Lepisosteus oculatus: one gene and its partner. The protein of the gene in region 1 purifies or fractionates together with the protein of each later gene. This does not show direct contact. Links are inferred from orthologs where the notes say so. Each region holds a gene or a part of one and is shown on either strand. Other genes may lie near its edges.

Region 1 (7,652 bases):
AGTGTCTTCTTTCGTCTCTGTAAAGTTCAAAATGAACAGCATGCATGAGAATTTTGCAGTCCAGCTTCCAGACCGAGTTTTAAATGTGATCAAATATGCTTCCACCACCCTGTCAAACTGAAGATAACTGAAATGCGGTAAAAGGCTAGTTGATCTCCCAAAGAGCCCCATTCTTCTCACTTTTTTTTTACTTTACAAGAATATCTTGTAAAGAAGTCAAATATAAAACTCATTACATAGATTACACTGTACAAGTTTTGTCATGTACAAAATGCTGTAGGATAGAGCCTGTTTTCTGTTTTGAATTAGCTGTGTCAAACTGTTTTTAAAGTTTCTATAGACCAACGATGTTCGCTAATCATTTGGCAGCTCTTGAGTACTTTCCCTCATGACTATAGGAAGTTCAGTTTAGTTTTGATTTACAATGTTGCTTACCAAATTGTTAACCTGATGAAATTCAAGGTGCTGCATGTCATGTTTTAGTAGAATAAGCTAAAATTAAGAGGTTTTACATTACAGTTTCTGCTCATTAGAGGCATTGTGATTAGTTTAGCACCCTTACCTTATTAGAACACTTAGAAGAGTTTGTAATCTCTTCTGTAGCCTGTTAGAATGTGTATTCTTATCAATATTCTTAGATGATGGAGCTTTCAAATTTTGACAATTGTTTGTAGCAGAAAAACCTTTAGCTCTCATCTAAATGGAGTCACATCAACTGAATGAGCAACTTGTAGGTGTTGAATTATTTTTGGGAGCGGGCTTCAATGCCATTGGAGACTTTATGATGCACAATCATTGAAAATGTAAATGGAGAAACCAAAATGTGAGTTCTTGAAAAAGGAGAGAATGGGAGTCACAATGTTACTTGCCTGTTGATTTATTTAGTCTTCAGCAGGCTTTGGTTTCACATTCAAAATTCTTTTTTTTTTTTAGATACCCAATCTCCAGTTTCAAATGTTCAGTTGTGAGAAAAAGTTTGTGAAATGATCTGGATTTCTGCATGAATGGCTCCTAAAATGTGATCTGATCTTCATTTAAGTCTTAATAATAACTAAAGACAGTCTTATTGAACAAACAACACACACAACATTTTACATTGTCGTATCTTTATTGAACAAATGTCAAGGTCATTGATGGGAAAAGTAGGTGAACCTCTAGGATAATGACATCTTGAAAAGAGGGTAATTGGAGTCAGGTGTTCTAATCAATTCAGGTGTGGGTTTGACCTGCCCTGCCATATTAAAAAAATCTCAACTTTGGTTACCTGCTCTTCACAACAGAATTCTGTTGAACTGCAATATGGCCTCATCGAAAGAGATTTCAAAAGACTTCAGAAGAAGAGTTGTTGAAGCTCATAAGACTGGATTTCTGAAGACCTGGACCTCTGTCTGTCCACAGTCAGGCAGATTGTTTACAAATGGAAGAAATTCAGCACTGTTGCTACTCTCCCTAGGAGTGGGCATCCTACAAAGACTGGTAGCAAGGGCACATCATAAAATCCTCAAACAGGGGACAAAGAACCCTAGGGTGTCAGCTAAGGATCTGCAGGCATCTCTTGCACTTGATAATGTCTGTGTTCATGAGTCTACCATAAGAAACACTGAACAAGAGTGGTGTTCATGAGAGGTGACCATGAAGGAAACAACTGCTCTCCAAGAAAAACATTGCTGCCTGTCTCAACTTTGCTAAAGTCCACCTGGATGGTCCACATCACTACTGGAACAATGTTCTGTGGACAGATGAGACAATAAGTGAGCCTTTTGGTAAATATACTGTACATAGCGTTTTCTTTGGAGAAAACAAAACACCATATACCAATACCAAAACATCATCCCAGCTGTGAAGCATGGGAGTGGGAGTATAATGGTGTGGGGCTGCTTTGCTGGACAGCTTGCAATCATTGAGGGACTAATATATTCCAAGTTGTATCAGGATATTCTACAGCAGAAGGTCAGGGAATCTGTGATCTAAAACTCAAAAGAAGTTGGGTCATGCAACATGACAATGATCCAAAACACAGGAGTAAATCCACAACAGAGTGGCTCAAACAGAAGAAATTCCGTATTCTTCTGTATGAGAGTCCTGACCTCAATCCCATTGAAATGCTGTGGCGTGATCTGAAACAGACTGTTCAAGCAAGACATCCCAAAATTATACATGAAATGAAACCGTTTAGTATAGAGGAATGGGCCTAAATACCACCTAACCGAAGCATTTGGTTGAGATTATTGCCAATAAAGGGGGTTTCATTACTTACTAAATATAAGGGTTCACATACTTTTTCTATCAATGACCTTGATTGTTAAAACCATTTGTTCAATAACAATATGGCTATGTAAAATGTTGTGTGTGTTGTTTGTTAAATAATACTATATTTATTATTATGACTTAGATGAAGATCACATTTTAGGAGCCATTCATGCAGAAATCCATATAATTCCTAAGGGTCCACAAACTTTTTCTTACAACTGTATATATTATCTCTACAAAGATCAAGGTATAACATACCTGGTATTCAACTGGAAGAATACTGGAATACTGACAGTAATCCAAGAGTCCTGTATTGCCCTTATTATGAATGACGTCTTAAACCGTTATCCTCCAGAGAGCACAATTTATGTGTAACTCCTCAACTTTCTTTTAGGTTGTTCTTGTCAAGAGCTTCAATGTGTTTTTTGAGGATTTGGTGCTCAAACTGAAAATAAGCAAATGTGTTATTACATGTACGCGTCCTACATACTTACTACCTCTCCCATTAAGATGACTGGAGGGGGTGGGAGAGGATCTGTGCTGAACAAAAAGGGATAGGAAACAGCCTGCAGTTTAAGCATCTTAAAATGTATTTAAATATTTATTTAATACTGCTGAGCAAAGCTAAATTGACATACAAGTGTTTAGGAGAAAGTAAAAAAAAATGTTGTGTATGTCTCTTCTTTAGTGCATTTGTAGAAACCTGGTTAGCTTTTCTATTGTATATTTCCCCTAGTAAAGGCCTTTTTTTATTCAATTTAAATCTGTTGCTTTTTTTGTTTCTTAAGCCCCATGTCTGGAAATTGTTAGACAATGGCAAAACATTAAACCTCAGTGGTGTGTTCCATCTTTTGATTTTGTACTGTCCTTTGAGACTATAAATATTGCTGAACCTTTTCTTGTACGATCCAGATACCATGAAGAAGCCGTGTTCCTTCTTAGTCTAAATTCATTAAAACATCAATGTATAAAGATTTGGAAGTTTTATTATTCATTGAGTAGGTACTTTGTTATTTAAAGATTGCTTGAAACAGAAAAAAACCTAAATAATATTTAGCCCTTAAAGACCAGACTTCCTTTAAGATGACTAACTACTTGCTCAGGAGATCATTAGCCTAACAAGAGCTTCTGATCCCTAGAAATAGTTATTATACCATCATCTTTAAGACTTACTGGTTTGAGCTATGTTCTAATGGATATCCTCTAGCTTACCCAAGATGGATTCCTTTGCAGTTTCTGGTGTCTGAATGTCACCTACTACATTACATTATGTCAATCTTCAGGAACAAATACTGTCACTGGTGACGATAAATATCCAACCACCCCATATGCTGCTTCTTTAGACCTCAGTTTATAGTGATTGTTACAGTATACTATGCTCTACCATCATGAAATAAGACATAGAATGCCACCCTTGCTATTTTTTTTCTGTTGAGCACACACACACACAAAACCAAATGACATTGCTTCATTCTTACCATATTGTCGGGTGCCTGAAGAAATAGTTGAGTTAACCATCACTGTTACTGTGCAGACGTGATGCATTGTGTTGACCATCTTGATAGTCCTATGAGTGGTTGAGTAGATCTTGCTGGATCTTGAGTGGTATTGGCACTTGGCAGCATCAGTAGAGGAGTGGCCTTTCAACGACTTGGTCATTTCACCTCGCAACATCCATGACATCATTATTCCAAGAATGCATTACAACCATTGAGTTTCTGCTTCATTTGAAAAGTGCTTAAAAATGAACTTCAGCATTCTCACTGCACTTATCACCATTGTATGTGTAAATTCACAATTCCACATTTCTAAATTTCTGTCAGTAAATGTTGCAAATCATATTTGTGGGTCTGAACAGATGCAACTTTTCTGAAGTGTAGGAATATAATTTACAGTGTATGGATATTACAGAATGATTTATAATGGTTTTGCAATTTGTAAATCTGATATCGAAATCTGAAATTTAAGCACCATCTCTAGTGCTAGACAATGAATACTGTTCAGGAACATAAAAGTCGATTCAAGCTGCAGAACACACATCATTGTCATTTTAGTCAAAAGACCGCCAACGTTAAATAAAACACAACTTCCCGAAGGCCTTCATACTGTTTGTGTCTAAAGCAGCGCTTTCTGGAATATGTAGTTCAAAACGTGAACTGTCATTTAAAACAGTACTGAAGTCCTAAACTGCATTTCCCAGAAATCCACGGTGGCACCCTTTTAATCAAATACGATAATGCAGGTCTTTTTTGGGAAATGTAGTATTTTCTGTGACTCGAGCACGGTACTAGTTCTCCTCCCCTGCGGTATCAAGACTACTTTACCCAAAAGCCATTGCTTTCACGAGTTTCTTGCCGCCATGTTGTAGGAAATCCGCTTGTGGGGGGATTACAGAGTTTAATCCGAGAGAACAGGGACAGAGGCTGGAAGATAGAGCGAAGAGAGAGAGAGAGAAGAAAAAAACCCTAAAGCAGACATAGGCCCGAAAGCAGTGAAATACAGTCAAATAACCCAGCAGCTAAACACCGTGGCATTAAAAGACTTCGACTCGCCAAAATTGGGAGAGTGGATTTGCAAAACCGTTTTTTTTTTCCTGGCTACATTTTTTAAGTTAGCTGGTTTGGACTGATTCTGTGACAGAAATTGACAGCAGCTGGATAGCTAACGAAAAAGAAGAGAGGGGAGAGCAAAATTTGTCAGGAAAAAATAATTTCGTCGAGTAAAGTGGGTTTCCCCCCCTTTCCCCTTTCCCCTCACATTTTTTTTCACCTCCTAACTAACCAAGGAACTCCCATTTTGGGTTGTCCTGGTTTGCTGGATTTGAATTCGAGGGGAAATAAAAAAGGACAGAATAAGCGTACGCAGGGGGAAATATTAGAATACAAAATTCCTGAGGTGAGTCGAGGTGAAAGATGTCTGGGAAAGACCAGAATAAGCAATCCACCACCGAGCGGATTATAAAAGGTAAGTGGTCTTCTCTAACACGGAACAGCAACTTTTACTGTTTGTGTTTTCGTTTAGGGCGGGTTTTCTAAATAGCACGGCAATAATTAAGCTATCCAACGTGGACATGCATTCGTGTCACACCAGGATCGGGGTCGGCTAGCTGTAAAAAAATACATTTTTCTCCCCCCAACCAGAGTCGAGTACAGGCTGTAAATCTGCGGTGTGTATCGTCTTGTCCGAAATGCCAAGCTTAGCCATCTACAGTAGCTACGTCGCGTATTTCAACGAACATTTAAACTTTGCTGGTTATGTTTCCCATCGTACGTGTATTTATATCACACGAGGTTTGAAACAGGTTTTTGGTTCCATTCATCGTGCAAACCAGCTGCCGTTTAAGAGCACTCTTAAAACACAGCTGCGGTAGTAAAAGAAACGTATTATTATTTAATTTATCGTTTTATACTACTTTTATTTCTTTCTGGTTTGTCCAATTGTACAAATGACTTGTCCTGCTTTAACGTTTGTACGGAAGAAGTTCTAATCTGCCTTTCAGTTTAGCAGACCTCTGAAAAATCGTATTCATCCCCTAGAACTGCTGTCCGATTGAATTGAAGTTATGATTGCAAACGTGTATAGTGTAGTCGTGCATTTGAGTGTGTGCTTAAATAGCTTAGGTCATGTAAGACATATTTCCTAAGCTAATTTCTAATAATACATTGCATTTAGCGATCCAGAGCTGTCTTGCTGGAATAACAGCCAGCTGGCTTGGGGTGAACAGTATTGTTTGGCAGTTGAGCTCTGCGCCTTGACCAGCAGTCCTGACGCTAAGAGGTCTTGACGGAATGTGAAGAATTACTGCCCCATCTGGTCTAAGTGTAACAAGGTGAACGGGCTCGGATGAGCCTTGTCTGGGTCAGAACACAACGCAAAACAAAACTACATCAACAAAAATCCAGCTCCGTCAGGTTGCCATCCTGCGACTGGCGCCAAGCTTTTAAAATGCATCATTTCAATAGGCTCAGTATTGCCCGCACTCCCTTCCATTTTGGAAGCTTTTGCATTCTTTTAGAACCTGGAACGAGTGTAAAATGCTGCCTTCTATGGCACATCTCCGAGCAGAGGTCGTAAGGCGATTTGTAATTGGGAAAGGCTATTAGAGGAAATGAGTCCCGTGGGATTTGAATGAATCGCGATTTAAACGTCAGAAGCCCGGCAGTGAGGAGAACAGCCTTCTTCAAGACAGTGGAGTCAAAAGCTGCATGTGAACCTTTTTTTTGCCGTTTTCATAGGTGATAAATTGGGCAGTTTTTATACTTTACATGTAGGGTACAAGACTTGACTGTAACAAAACATAAAATTGAGTCAAAAAGGTTTTTTTCTTTATGGAGTGGTAACTCATTCACGTCTACTATATGAAAGAGAGAAAACCAGGCAGAGTTGTGGATGGGATAGGGTGTGTTAATTCTCAAGTTTTATGTTGAAGCAAGGAAACATGACAGAGCACAAGGGCAACAGAAGATGGAGGAGGGGGAGGTGTTGGTAGAAGTTCTTTAAAGTGCATGCCATGAAAACACACCCTGAAGCGACAGAGGTGGGGATGTTTTCTGTTTTGCTCCAAGAGAGCTAGCTGTTTGCATTCTGACACCACTGTTGGATCAGTGTGGGATTCACGCCTATCCATGCTAATTGATTCAGGGATGTTGCCGTAAAAGATTGTGTGATTAATCACGTTGAAACTAACGAATAAATCGGGCACAGCCAACCTTGGCACTCACATCTCTGTCTGAGGCAAGGCTAATCCTCAGTTATTTTAGTCACTTTCAGTGACAGAATCAGATAAGTTAATAAGAGTTCATTAATAAAACTATTTGGGTTTGCAAAGGAATGAAACGGAGGCTGTGAGTTTGCCCAATCTGTCAGTAAATGCTTCGTTACAGCTTTTAAATACAACATTAATATAGACTTTAGTGTTGGGAAGTTCATGTGTTCAGCAAGGGAAACACTTTAGTGATATTAATGATTCTTGTTTCATTAGAACAATCTATAGAAAGATGCAAATATCACGGAATTCACTGAACTGATATTTCCCATCCTCTTAGGGGGATAAATCTTTGTATTTTTTACCTTTTTGGTAATTTAGATATAGAGGTTGTTTTGTAATTTCATGTGCTGAAGAAGGAAGTAGAGTGTCTACCAGTTTTGCTTAGATTACATTTGCTTCAGGATTTCTAAAATATTTTCATGTCCATGAATTAAAAATTAGTTTAAATTAATTTAATATTAATAGTTAAGAATGAGGAAAGTACTGTTTCATTGCTTATGTACAGAGTTAGTAATCAATGTAGTTGGTTATTGATTTTATTTTACATAAAATATTAAGCATGGGGTGCAAAGATCTGTCATTAAGGGCTATATTAATGGAAGTTTTGTTTTGTGGGTATCTGCTTCATTTCAGT
Region 2 (7,706 bases), on another chromosome or scaffold:
GAGCAGGAATCGGCCCACACTGAAAGAGATGCGAGACCACTCTTGTCACTGTTAGCCTGAGTGCACGGCTAGCATTTACTGGACCATACAGCAGGTGCACATTTCCACAGTACATTAGGATTGAGGTCACCTATAGCAGGGTTCTGGCTCTTGTGGAGAATTCTGGTTTCCAGACTCACTGCTCTTCATTGCTTCAGAAACCTCAGTGCACGCGCCTGCTATTTTTCATATCGGCAACCTGACAATTGCTTTATTGTACCCTTTTGAGCGGTGCCAGCAATATTAAATTATTGATCCCATGCCTCTGATCAAGGCAACGCACACTTAAAAACAAATAATGCAGGGTAAAGAAAATCCATATTACACATGGCTGGATCAATTGTATGTATTGTATTATTATTATTGTATCATTCGTTACACTGTGGCTGTGTTGTCTGTGTTCAGCTGCTGTTGCACTGCAATTTCCCTCACGGGATCAATAAAGTATCTATCTATCAATACAGGCACTCACTCTGAGCGCAGGTCAGGGGCTGGAGGCCAGGTAGTGCCGCTGGGTTAACTGTTACTGGGATCGCTTCTCCACTGGGTGGCACACAATGACACGACCAGGACACCCTGCCCCTTGGAGCTTCAGTGCTCACCCGGTGCAGGTCCTCCTCGAACGCGGCCTCGTGGACGCTGCAGGCGAACAGGGACGTGGGCAGGTCGCTGAGGTCCATCATCTCCTCCGCGTCCTCGTCGTTCTCCCCGAAGATCATCTCCTCTTCCTCCTCCTCCTCCTCCTCCTCCGGGTCGCTCCAGGCCTTCCCGCCGTCTCTCAGCATGGTGGGATGGGAGTGGGCCGGACACTGTGCGTGCTGAGGGGACAAAGAGTGGACACTCAGCAGCTGCCCTGTCGGTGCAACATCCGACACGCATCTTCGTCTGTTTCTGCATCACCATGTACGGTGTGGTTGGGTTTCGAAAGGCGCTTTATAAATCACAGCTATTATTATTCATGATTATTTTCTGCTGGTTCCCCTCTGTCCTAAGCCTTTACCTGTTCTTTTGCAGCCTACGCACGCTGACGCAGCCCGCTACTCAAACATCAATATTGTTGTTGTTGCGGTCCCTTGTTTTTTTAATTGTTTGAGAAAGAATTGAAAGGAAGAAGCGGGGAAGGAAATCACTGGAACAAGAATTGTATGCTTCTTCTGCTAAAGTGTTATTTAAACGCAGGGTGTTTAAAACTAAGATTGCACTGATCTTTTGTATACCCGTGCTCCACCCCGTACAGTAGATGCAATAATAGATATAAGAAACAGAACATACCACATAGGTAACAATCAAGGAATAAAAATGACTTTTTTAGATATTTACAATAACGTCTGTCTAACACGTGTTGCACAAAGCAGGAAGGCATTTTTTATGCAGGTAATTATTGTAATATTGTTAGATTGATTGAAACAGAGAAAAAATACATATTTTCCTAGACGACAATCAAGTGTTGTGACAACCATTGCAAAGACATAAAGAAAATAACCACATTCGTGACTACCGCCCTCTTACATAACAGTGTTATTACTATTTTCACAGACAAATAGTGCATAGTTTTGAAGTGTGAATACAAACATACGTCAGGTATAAACAGAAACAGCACTGTGAACGACCTCCACTCTAAACCATAATTTGTCGCCCCGCAGCGACATCATTCGAAAAAAGCGGTGAAGTGCAGATGAGGTAAATACACCGTGATGTTATATTTGAGGAACATAACATAAAAGAACTTTACTCTCATGTGGCGTCTACATTTCAAACAATTAAAACGTTCGACCTTCAAGACCATATGTTTTTTAATTAATACACCATATCTTTTTTAATTAATACACCAGCGGCGTCTGATCGTGGAACTCATCGTAGAAAGTTGTTTTATTATTATTCATAAACGTTGCAACACAATCTAAGGAGCACAGATTTGTTCCTCTTAACAAAGTATACCGTTGTTATCTGTGCCACCCCGTACTTAAGTATACCGAGACTGTTCACAACACTGGTCGGAGAAGATTCGTAGTAGCGTTGTAAGAGCCGCCGTTACATGCACCTAAAAATATGACGGGCTAACAACGAAATAGACTTAAAAATAGCCGTGCGTGTGGGACACCAGAGCCCGGCGACACACACGGACCTCGCGTCACACCGGCTCAATGTCAAAATGACAACCGAGCGCGGTTACATCACGCAGCCCCAGCGTAGCCGGCGCGTCTTCCTGCCACCTCCAAATCACGCTCTCCGCGGATCAAGAGGACCCCTCGGGTCAACTCCAAATCGACAACGGGCGGATCGCCTTACTCACCACAAAGCCACCCGCGTTAACAGCCCGCCGACTTTCCGCTGCTCTTGGATTTAGCGCAAAACGAACGCGCAGCGCAATCCTCGGGCTGTTTTGGTGCGCCCGCAGCTGTATTTTCACAGCTGGAAGTTATATCGCTCAATCGCCCGTGCATCACCCCCCCTTCCCCTCCCCACCCTGTGACCGCTCCGGCTGCAGGTGGGTGCACCCTACACCTTCATCGGAGGGCTGCAGGACAGGACCAATGGCCTGCCGCCCCTCTCGCTGGGTGACCAATCGGCACGGCGGCGGACGGGGTCGGGGAGGCTGCGCGTCAAGACTGGTGGCGAGCGCCGGGTGAACACGGCTCACCTGGGAGGATTCGCCGTGCCGGCGGCGACAGCTCGGCCAGAAGCACCTCCCGGCGCTCGGCGAGGACAGCAACCAAAAAAAATGAATGCGGCCCATTCGTGGCTGTTTCCATTCGGCGTCTTTCAGTTTTCAGAAGTCGCGGATTTCGTTTTAGTAACAAAAAAACAAACAAAACAAAACTGGGGGCTTCGGACGGTTCTTCAAAGGAGCTGCTTCCTGCACGACACGGGTTCCCATGGCAGTGGCACGTCTAACAAGTACCCGACGCGAAAAGAAAATTAAAAATGAAACGTCGTACAAAGAAATTAAAAAAACGTACGAGGTTAACTAGAGTAGATAAGAGAAAAGAGACTGCGCCTCCAAAATGAAAATGAAAAGGCCATTCTTAATCCTGATAACATCCAAAATATGCTTTAAGAGTCCCCTGTGTGCCGTGCAATCTACAGCGCAAATTTTATCTTATGAAGGAATAATAATAAAGCCTTACACTTTTATAGGGCTTTTCTGGACACTCCACTCAAAGCGCTTTACGGGTAATGGGGACTCCCCTCCACCACCACCAGTGTGCAGCCCCACCTGGATGATGCGACGGCAGCCATAGTGCACCAGTACGCTCCCCACACACCAGCTCTCAGTGGGGAGGAGAACAGTGATTAAGCCAGTTCAAAGATGGAAATTATACCCTACTCATTTCAAGAAACGCCCTGGGATTTTTAATGACCACAGAGAGTGAGGACCTCGTTTTTACATCACACCCAAAGGATGGTGCCTTTTTACAGTATAGTGTCCCCGTCACTATACTGGGGCATTAGGACCCACACAGACCACAGGGTGAGCGCCCCCTACTGACCCCACTAACACCTCTTCCAGCAGCAACCTTATCTTTCCCAGGACATCTCCCATCCAGGTACTGACCAGGCTCACACCTGCTGAACTTGTGAGTCTTTCCGATTAATTTACAATACCATACACTTCAAAGTGTCTCAATAAAATGTGTTTAACTAGAGGTCATTCTTATTTTTTATGAGAAGAAACCTTCCAGATTTACAGTAAGTATTCTAGCATATTTAAGCACTTCTTAAAAGGTTATTACTTACCAAATGCCTTGTAAATGCAAGGTGAAGTGTAACCTGGTGTCTGCCCCTCCTCTGACATTGCCTCGTTTTTTGCTCCACAAGTAGGAACTTGTTCAAAAGAGGGCATCTGTTGCCACGGCAGCAGTCACGCTCATCCGTCACTGTAATTTACAAAGAACATTCAGAGCCGCCTGAACTGTGCACTGATATGATTTTATTTGCCGACACAGCACAGTGTGAAGGGAGGCTAAAATTTGTAGTACTAAAGGACAAGTTAAGCAACGGGCATTCAAGTTTTCCTGTTTTCCTCCCAAATCCAATAATCTAATTTAGTTTGGCTTCCGAGCACCATATAATAAGAAGTGTTCCATTGCTGGCTCTGCTGCGGTTCTGATAATATTGTTAGTGCTGTGTTTCTTGTGTAAACACATTTGTTGTATATACATTAGGGGAACTAGAGCAGAGCAAAAAAAAATCAGAAAGGGACAGGGAGTCAGTATTACAAACTTCCTGGAGACAAGCGCACACACATTTGTGGGTTCGCAAAAATCTGTGTGTTTTTTCCAAATTGATGACTCTAAAATGTTGCTGGACAGCAAAGCAATATGCTTATTTTGAACATCTAAAATGATTTTACAACACAGAAGCTTACTGAATTCTTCAGCACTTTTGAAAGCTTTTGTACCTTGGTCTATGTCTTCTCTGGAGAAATTCACAAAAGATAAAGATTTAAAGTACTAACAATTAGAGTTAGCGACTAAGAAGCCTGTGAACAAGAACTATGTTGGGATCAGCTCCTTGGGCATTAGTTCTGCCATGGGTAATGAGAGTTAAATCATTAACTTTTGCTTAACCGAAAGATTAACTTTGTTGAATTATCTCCAGATTTCAAAACCATAGCCGGGCTCTGCAGGGAAACATCCCACACAAGGTGTTACTATGGCAGACAAGTGACAGGAAGCTGTGATAAAAGGCAGTGTAAATAAAATGATTAATAACCAGCAGTGGAAGGAAAAGGGATCAGTTCATACAGGAATCAGACAGCTCTAGCCAGAGTTTGGGGTATATTCTTGTTATCAAAGATGGGATGCACAACCAGCACAGAAGTCAAAACACAGAATCCTCCAACAAACGCCCCAAAGGACACACCAGGTAAGGTTTTCTTTATGTATTTCAACATTAAATTAAAGAACTGTTTTGAAATGTTTAGGACATATTCTAATTTGGGAATTTTTAGTTTTTAAATGAAGATGCTTTCACGTGTTTAATGCTCTTACATTCTAAAGTCACATTCCTTGTTTTTCAATTGGCAGTTTTCTGTCTCTATCCATCTTCTCTGCTCCAACCAACAAATATGGGCATATTTCAGCAGCCCTCAAAACAGGAGTGGAAAAGTACGATACCAACACAGCCATCTTTAATTATTGCAGATGTCTGTGATCAAATGAAGTTAATATTAAAATTAATTCATTTGCATTCAGGGTATCTTGAAAAGTAAAACTAAAGTGAAAGGCATACATTAGATAGGCAGGCAGCAGATTAAATTTGAAAAGGAAATAAAGGTGCAGTTCATATGAAACAGTACTGCAAAACCTGAGTAATGTGTAACTAGTTTCCACTGTGGTTTGAATGGGAAACAGAACATTGGCATTCCAAATCTGTCATGTATTAACCTAATTCAGAAGGTCGTTAATGAATCTTCTGATTATGGAGTATTTGATAGTTCTTTTGACTAACTATATTCTAAAACAGCAGTAAGGAGAGTGAGGCAAACTTATTATTCTGAATTAAAAAATCTTGTTTTCAGAACTCACATTCATTTTTGATGAGACTGTAGTAGTTTAGAAGCTATGCCTAATATCTGCGTCTTTACACTGACTAGTGTGCATTCAGAGAAGTCAGTCTTGTTCGATAGCTTTCCTCAGTGCTGGGTCAAGTACTGTACCACCATAAAAACACAAGACAGGTTACGAATGAGAGGAGCCATTCAGCCCATTTGATAGTATTTAATTGATCCAAGGATCTCATCCAGTGGCTTTGTGCTGTACTTGTTTCAGCAACATGGTTGGACACCCTGTATTTCCAGCCCAGAAGATGTTCATTTGTCATTTTGTGATATTATTGTCAGGCAAAGCGAAGATTCTTCCATCTTAAAAAGTACTGGTTAATTCAAAATCATACAGTTCTGATGTACTCTTCTCATGTGCTTCATTTAAATTCTATTTAACAGGTCGACTCTTCATCTGCTTAGAATTATTTAGCTTTTCAGGTTCAATAAAAATCTCTGAACAAAGTCTGTGATGATGCTTCTATAGAATCTCTTTTTTTCTCCTTTTTAATTGTAGAGAGAAATAAAACTCCAGTTTCCCAGTTTGAAGAAGTCCTGGACCTAGCTGCCACTACGAGTATGGCCTGTGCACAAGAACACTCATTTTCGGCTCTCACAGTTAGGGGGCAACGCAACTACAGAAGACCGTCTTACTTACTAATCCATCCATCTTCGAACTGCTTTACCCAGTTTGGGGCTGGGTGGGTGCCGGAGTCTGGCCTGGCCAGCAGTGGGTGCAAGGCAGGGTACACCCTGGACAGGACGCCAGTCTGTCACAGGGGTCAGAGAGACACTAACATGCACACACAGAAATATTTGAATGAAAACGTAGGGTTACAGACCATGCTCTGTAGAAGATCCATAGTTCCTTTATTAATATAATAAAATAATAAACTTTATTTTATATAGCGCTTTTAAAGGTGGCTTCTCAAAGCGCTTTACAGAATGACAACAACAATAAATAAAAAGGATACACAAGATAGAACACAATTACAATACACAGAGGAGACAGTAGATGGTGGTACTAAGTATAGTAGGAGCAGAGGGGTAAAGAATGGAATCAGTTAAGTAAAGACTCTTTTAAAGAAGAACGTTTGAGTCTGGGTTTGAAGGAGTTTAGAGAGGGTGACTCTCTGATATCCTTGGGCGGAGAGTTCCAGAGCTTGGGGGCAGAACAGGAGAAGGCCCTGTCACACATACAATGTAGATGGGTTCTTAATCCTTAATGGGGGACAGTTAGGAGACCAGAATTAGAAGAGTGAAGGTTGCGAGATGAGGAGTAGGGCGATAATAATTCAGACAGGTACTGAGGTGCCAAGCCATGCAGAGCCTTATAGATGAGCATGAGGATTTTAAAGTCCACATGGAATTTGACAGGAAGCCAGTGTAAGGACTCTGAGGATAGGGGTAATGTGTACACTTGCACTAGATCTGGTCAGGATTCTGGCTGCCGTTAAGTTGGCAATATATCAGTTTAAAATGGCTTTTGATAAAGGAAGCACAGAAGATATTGCCTGTTCTTTAGGAATTGAAGCCCATTGCAGGCCACACACAGACAAAGATACACTCATACCAGGGCCAGTTTTCCCAGATGCCAGTCAACCTTTCAGCACGTTTTTGGACTGTGGGAAGAAATTGGAACACCTAGAGGAAACCCACACAAACACAGGAAGCATGTACCAACTCCACACAGAGAGGACTACAGGAACTGGGCCCAGGGCCCCAGCACTGCAAGGCAGCCATATTAACCACTGCGCCACTGTACTGTCCGTTACTTGCTAAATAAACCCTAAAATATCAACTAACAAAGCAAACCAGTATAGCCTTGACACATCAAGATTTAAACTAAAGAAAGATACATTTACAGTTTGCAAAGGAATAACTCTTCAAACTGAATCCCAGAGCTCCACAATCCTGTTAGTTCATAAACTGAAGGCGTCTGGAACAAGCTACCCAACTATGTTGTGGAAGGCCTCTTCAAAGCTGTAGCTGTTCTTAAATTCTTAAAGGTCAAGAATTGGTGCTACTTAAGAGGCACAAGTAGTTATGTATAGTCCACGGTTTGCATTAATATATTAAAAACCTAATGGATACTTCCATTTCACAAGTTACTGAAATTGGA

What was found. Proteins that work in one complex are often made in the same cells at the same time.
Region 2: the proteins of ppp3ccb (region 1) and rcan3 purify together in Homo sapiens (affinity purification with mass spectrometry; 3 studies listed by BioGRID and IntAct, counting the BioPlex papers as one, with this or other methods). This does not show direct contact. The link is inferred for Lepisosteus oculatus from reciprocal best matches to the Homo sapiens genes PPP3CC and RCAN3.

The regions. Positions count from the first base shown.
Region 1 is NC_090697.1:68,025,845-68,033,496, reverse strand, and holds the start of ppp3ccb (protein phosphatase 3, catalytic subunit, gamma isozyme, b), read left to right. Parts: upstream 1-4,618; 5' UTR 4,619-5,162; coding exon 5,163-5,214; intron 5,215-7,652. UniProt on the Homo sapiens protein: Calcium-dependent, calmodulin-stimulated protein phosphatase which plays an essential role in the transduction of intracellular Ca(2+)-mediated signals. Dephosphorylates and activates transcription factor NFATC1.
Region 2 is NC_090706.1:4,244,021-4,251,726, forward strand, and holds the start of rcan3 (calcipressin-3), read right to left. Parts: upstream 3,049-7,706; 5' UTR 2,777-3,048; coding exon 2,681-2,776; intron 2,597-2,680; exon of another isoform or gene 2,333-2,596; intron 858-2,332; coding exon 642-857; intron 1-641.